Linked DNA regions of Callithrix jacchus. The protein of the gene in region 2 interacts with the protein of the main gene of each other region in a pairwise test. Links are inferred from orthologs where the notes say so. Each region holds a gene or a part of one and is shown on either strand. Other genes may lie near its edges. The genes, in order: PEG10 and SIAH1.

Region 1 (3,829 bases), on a different chromosome or scaffold from region 2:
GAGCGACCCTTTTCATTATGTGGATTCTGATCCTTTTGAAGTGGTTACCATCAGGTAATGTGGAGCTCACTAAGGAAGTCCACACTCTCAAGACAGTGTCCAGAGCCCTAATTCCTCTTGTTCAAAGATAGGAGTGTGAATCTGGGTGCTAAATCATTTCCCCTGTCTCCATGCATCCTAACACTACAGTCTAATGAAGGGACTGAAGATGGAATGCCCAGATGCATATGGAGGCAGACACATGGATAGATACTTCCAAAACGTCAGCTGGTGGTTTTCCAGTCAACTAACAACACTCATGAAAATTCTTTCTGAAGTACCAGGACAAGTCTCTTAAAAGGTGGGTAAGGGATTTTGGAGTCCTTTTGATCTGCCACTCTTTAGCCTTCGAAGGTGATTGAGAGGTGGTCACATTTCACAAACCTCTAACACCCCTGGAACCACCAGTAATCTCTGGTTATCAGGTTTAATGCTTTGTGGAAGCCATTATGGCATGATGATGGTAAGGTGTGTGTCAAAGCCAGAGTCCTTGGGTACATGCGATTTGCACCACGATGTGATGGCACACTCTTAACATACAAGAGTCCATCTGAGAGGGCCTGAGGTGTTTCATGTAGCAAGGGTTTTGCCTGCCCCTGGGAGAACCAGTTGAGTTGCTGCTCCTTGAGAATTAACAGAACCATGGAAATGGAGTTTGAAGATGGTGAAGTTTCTAAGGGTGCAGCAGGATGATCACGGAAGCCTTTCCACACTGCACCAATAGTTTTGGCTTCCTTAATAAGGACTCGGTCCTCTAGTGATGTAAAGAGAGTACTGAAACTGCAAGAAAAGTCATGTCCTCCTCCACCTCCTCCTCCTTGTCTCCCCCTCCATGAAGAAATCAGCATTTGTATCAGCTTCTCTGTAAATGTTAAACAAGAAAATTGGCAGCCTATAATTTAGATGATGATAGAGGTTTTAGTAAGTAAAACCCAGACTTCCAGGACTGCCTGGAAAGTAAACTTATTAATTATTTTAGATTGGTAGTCAAGGTGGAAAACTGAGAGATAATTCGTTGGCAAATACTCTGCTGCTCTCAGAAAATGTTGAAAGTCTTTTGGTGCTTTAGGATGTGTGCCAGTCCAGGGTGGCGCTGACCTTCTGTAGCCGTTTCAGAGAGGATGTGCCTCAGGTGGCTTGAAGATACAGTAGCCTAAAATTTAGCACACAGTCACTGATTAAGAAGCTGAAAAGGAATAAATTTTGAGGGCAGAGATCCTGAAGGACATGACAAGTATTTACAGGGTACTGTAAGATGGAGGCGGCGGTGGCGGTGGTGGTGGAGGCGGCGGCTGTGGCGGCGGGTACTGTGGCACCGGAGGCTGGCGGTACCAGTGTGGATTCCAAGTGATCATAACAGGTACATACAGTGATCTTCCTTGTCCGTCTCGTCCCACTGGGTACCAGGCGAATCCTACTGGGTAAGTCGGGTACGCGGCATATGTGGGGTATGTTTGGTATCCAGGTATTTGAGGTACAAATTCAGTGTACGTTGCCAGGTGTGCTTGGTCTTCTAAATTTGGAATAGATAGGCGAGGATACTGATTCTGGATAGTAATATTGTTTGGAGCTCGGCAATCATAAGAAACTTGCAGTTTCCACCCCCTCTTCACCTGGAGAATTTGGGCTCCATTAGGTGCAACTGTTGGAGTAATTAGCCCATCCTTTACATTTCTTGCCACAAAATCTCGAAGAGCTGCCATATCAGATTCAGACAGTGAGTACACATGTCCGCTAGGAATACTGTGTGCTCCAGGTATCATTTCTATGTGAGGGTCAACCAGGCGGTGATCTGGGTAGACGTGCTCATCTACTGGAGTGTACACATTCTGGACATAGTAATACCTCACTGGTTGGTAAACTCTGTATCCATCTACTGGATAATAGAGTGGTGGTTGTGGTGCCGGTGGTGGGAGCGATGGTGGTATTGGAGAATACATCCGGCAGTGGTAGCGGCAGTATTCAGAATCAAAGACGATGGATCGAGTGCTCCAGGTGATGTTGGGATCATGTGTGCTCAGCCAGCGAACCCCCAGGACGACAGGGAAGAATGGAGACTGAGTCACATCAAATGACAGCACCTCACGGTGATCTCCCAGGTCAACTATCAGGTCATGAGTTTCGTGGACAACTGGGCCCGATGCTATGGGGCGCCCATCAATTGCTTCCACAAGTATTGGCCAGTCCTTGATTCTTAGAGGAATTCCATTTTGAGCAACGTATTCATGATCAATGAAGTTGCCAGAAGCACCAGAATCGATCATGGCTCGGACAAACAGGGTGTGTCTGCCCGGAAGATGAATCTGGAGCATCACTTGCAAGTGTGGAGATGAGGCATCATCTTGTGGGGACCTTATTATTTCTGGCCCGGTCGCTGAAGGTCCCTCTACAGCGGGGCCGGGGAGTTTCCCGCCGGTGAAGACTTCGAGGCCTTGGCAGGACAGTTGTCAGCATAGTGACCTCCTGTTCCACAGTAGAGGCAGAGGTTCAGCTTTCTGCGTCTTTCTTTTTCTTCCTGGGTCAGGCGCATGCGGGCACCTCCCACCGGCTCAGTTGGATCTACCTGGTGGTGGCTTGCAATGTGAGGCAACACCAGCGCCCGGGGTGGTGAGCGTGGCTTGCGAGCTGCAGCAGCCCTGGCCAGCCTTCTCTCAATGTGAATGCACTGACCTATCAGAGCAGACAGCGACTTGGCGACCTCGAGGTGGGAGAGCTCCTCCTGAATGTGGTCACTGAGGCCCTCGTGGTACTGGTCAATCAGTGCAGGTTCGTTCCAATCCAGGTCCTGGGCAATCATCTGGAAAGCATTAGAGTAGTCGATGACAGACCCCATACCTTGGCGCAGTCGTCTGATCTTGCGTTTGGCAGCCTCTCGCCTCTGAGGGTCTTCAAAGACATGTTTCATTTCCATCATGAAAGCCGGGTAGTTGTGCATCAAGTAGTGAGAGCGCTCCAGCTTTGCTGAGGCCCAACGTGCAGCACGGCCGGTCATCATGCTTGTCACGAAGCAGACACGGACACGATCAACTGAGAAATCTCTGGTGCTCTTTTCCATGAAGACCTGGCACTGGGACATAAAAGGAGCCAGCATGTCTGGGTTGCCATCAAACTTCTCTGGGAGGTCTTCTGGGCACTCTTCCTCTATTGCAGGGGGTGGGGCAGCAGCTGCTGCAGCACCGCGGAGCTCGATGTCATCATCCTCATCCTCTGGGGTGGGTTCTACCTGCTCTCGAAGGGTAGTGTTCTCCTCTGTGAGCTTCTGCACCTGGTTCTGCAGATTGTTGTTCTCCTCAGACTGCTTGATGACCTTCTCTCTTAAGTTGTTGATCTCTTCAGAGAGCTCATCTCTCCTTCGTTCGGTCATGTTGGGGACACACGCACTCTTATGGCCAGTGTGCTTGGAGTTGTTGTTGTTGTTGTTGTTGGGGGGAGGGGGAGGAGGAGGAGGTGGGCAGTCGGGACCCAGGGTGACGGTTGGGGTGGGAGGAGACCTCCCAGCTGTAACTTCACTTCTGTGGGGATGGAGGCCTGGATCCTGGCCCCCTCTTCCACTCCTTCTTTTTTTTGTTTTCAAAACGCGCTTATTTCTGTAAATAAAGATAAACATATAAATCTAACTTATACCTTCAAAGCAGCAAAATGTAGACACAAAGGATTTGATATTTATATTATCCCTTGTTCTATGTGCTTACTTTAATAATTAGCAAACAAACAAAAACAAACTCTCAAAGGGAAGTTATCAATCAGCACCATACAAAAAGCAAACTACTTTTTGATGTTCAAATGACCT
Region 2 (2,963 bases):
TACACAAGCACATAACCAGTTCAAAAGATAATTATGTAGGGAAGAGACTACACAAGCATCTTTTCTGAAAATGGTTAGAAAAAATAAACTCTTATCCAAAATTATCCAGAATCGGTGGTGGTATAAGGGTGAAGTCCAAATTAATTTTCATTGACTTTCTAGGCTTAGAGTACCCAGAGAACCACACAAAATTATCTCTGAGGATTCAGAAAGCGATTTCGGGATCTTGCCATGTGCGTCAAAGTAACGAGCAACAGTTAACTACATGGTTCTAAAGGTGCAACTGTAGCTAACATTCACTGGACGCTGATATGAACAAAGCACTGTTTCAGGTAATGCACCTGTAGCCCATTTAAACTTTAGAGGTATCTACCATAATTTAACCCCACGTTACACATTAGGAAACGGGCTGAAATGTGGTAGAGCTGAGACTGGCACCCAGGTGCCTGGAAGTCTGGCTGCAGAACCAAGGCTCTTGGCCAATAGGCTATGAAATAGTAAATTTATTCTTTCGTTGTGCTTTCTTAAGGAGGTGAAAAGTGGTCACCATTTTAGTCATTCTCCTGACAAAGTTGTAAGAATCGAAATGGGGGGGGTGTCGAGGGGAAGAGACTGTAATCCAGAGGCCATATACCCAGTTATTTGCTGTGATTTAGAATATAACTCTACCACACTTAAAATGACAACACACAGCTTTCTGCTATATAATTAGAGAAACAGGAAAATAAGTTTGGATTTTATCAAACTTAGCGTTAAAGCAGACACAGTAAGATTTTTTTAATTTGCCAGATATTCTTTTAATGAGAATTATAAAAGACCAAAAACATTTTTTTTTTTTTTGCAAACTGCCTTTTTAAACAAATGATTTGCTTTTAATTACAAATACGGTGCATGACGATGCCTTCTTCGGCAAAACCAATAAATACAAGAACAAATTTTAAACAGATGATTTGTCCAAGATATTTGAAAAAGGAAACAAAAACCCGATTTTCATTATAAGAATCAACTGATTCTCTAACCTTTCAAAGATTAAGCTCAAAGGTGTGACTCATCTGTAGAAGAGAGAAAGAGAAACCATCTTATAGATGCTTTAAATAGCTTTTGATAATTTTCCCAATGTCATCTTTACTTTCTGGAACTCATAGCTTCATAAAATAGCTGATTTTAAAATATTTCTAATGAACTGATCAATGGGGAAAAGAAAGTATGTATTGAATGCATGTTATAAATTTTACCATGAACAATTATGCATATCAAAAGACACTAACTTTAAAATGGTACAAAAAAAAGTGAGGAAAAACCTGAATTACAGAAAAGAAAGTCAAATTTATTTAATGAAAAACTAGAATTAATAAAAATTAGCAAATACACACACACAAAAGCACACAGCAGCACTATGTATTGACTCACAAAGGGGAAAAGCAGTGGCCCATGACCACTCAAGATGGCTTGTCAGTTAAAGGAAAAAAACCCAAACACGCACACACTCACGCACGCACTCACACACGCAGAAACAACCAAAAAACCCATTATTTTTGAACAATACAATCTACAACAAACACAAAACTCAGAATTATTTTACAATGCTTTCTTCTTTCTTAATACAAAAGATGCCCATCTTGGGTGTATATACATACATTTTTTTCAGTGGTTTACTGTTGACTTATTTTTAAATATATTAGTGTTACTACATGCAACTGTTTCCTGTATTTAACAGCCTTTCTTTTTATTTACCTTCATGTGTCTAGCTTTCACCTACCAAAAGAGTTTTAGATTGGCAGGCAGATGGGTGTCTTATTTTCTGTGAAACAGAAGTTTTAAACACTGGCCACAAAATGTTTGATTGCCATTTCAACACATGGAAATAGTTACATTGATGCCTAAATTGCCATTTTCTGCAAAAAGCTGTGCAATGCTGGTGTCAAAGACTAGACAGTCACTATTCATAATGGCTGTTGCAATTCCTTCATGAATAGATCGAGGAGTTGCTTCCCAAGTCAATCGTCGCCTATGACCATTTAGCTCAAGTCGGTAAGCAAAATTTTCAGCTTGCTTGCGTGTTCCTATCAGCTGTACGATTGCGAAGAACTGCTGGTGACCATCGTATTTTTCCTGTTTCTCCAAGACTAACATGAAGTGAAAGCCAAAACAGGACTGCATCATCACCCAGTCAACAGCACCAGGAAGATTAATGTCTGTAGCAAGGAAAACGATATCCTCTCCCTGTAGGGTTGTAATGGACTTATGCTGATGCATCAGATGGGGCATTACAGCATCCAGAGAGCCTTGCCATTTACAGGAAGCACCAGGGCATGGACAGGAATAAGGCCTAAACTCACAGAGCTCTTCATGGTCTGCTTTTTCGGTGTGTGGCAGAGTTATTTCACATCCAGAAGAGGCATATTTACAGGGGAAAAGTACTGAATTAGCCACTTTCTCCATAGCCAAGTTGCGAATGGATCCCAATGGGCCCCGGCAAGTTGGACAACATGTGAGCTTTGGGCGACAGTTGCTACAAACAAGATGGCCACTCTGACATTGAAGAATGGGTGGTAACACATAGTCAAAGCAGACTGGACACTCAAAAAGACTCGCCAAGTCATTGTTGGATGCAGTCGTGCCAGTCAGGGCAGGCACCCTCTGGGATGGTGGACACTTTGAGGTACCGGTAGGTAATGCTGTAGCAGTCTGACGGCTCATTTCTGAAATAAATACATAAGGAAGCAGGAGAAAAATAATTACAACCATGACTTATTTTATAAATAATGTTTATATGCCAGAAGTATTTTTTAAAAGATACTAAAAAAATAAAATTACACTGAATGTGCACTTTGATTACTAGGATCTGTACAGTGGATCAGCTCTATTTTCAAAATGTTCCAGAACACATTTGGAACTCCCTTTAAGAAAAAAAAAAAGTAAATATCATCTTAAATAGAAAATGGACCATAAACTAGAGAAAC

Evidence for each region.
Region 1: the proteins of SIAH1 (region 2) and PEG10 interact in binary tests that used the Homo sapiens proteins (3 or more experiments, as listed by UniProt). The link is inferred for Callithrix jacchus from reciprocal best matches to the Homo sapiens genes SIAH1 and PEG10.

Annotation. Positions count from the first base shown.
Region 1 is NC_133512.1:54,928,806-54,932,634, forward strand, and holds part of PEG10 (retrotransposon-derived protein PEG10), read right to left. Parts: intron 3,627-3,829; coding exon 2,426-3,626; coding exon of another isoform or gene 1,278-2,425; 3' UTR 1-1,277.
Region 2 is NC_133521.1:6,074,488-6,077,450, forward strand, and holds the end of SIAH1 (E3 ubiquitin-protein ligase SIAH1), read right to left. Parts: intron 2,841-2,963; exon of another isoform or gene 2,818-2,840; intron 2,703-2,817; coding exon 1,852-2,702; coding exon of another isoform or gene 1,749-1,851; 3' UTR 773-1,748; downstream 1-772. Other genes in the region: LONP2 (lon protease homolog 2, peroxisomal), read left to right, coding at 1,749-1,868. UniProt on the Homo sapiens protein: E3 ubiquitin-protein ligase that mediates ubiquitination and subsequent proteasomal degradation of target proteins.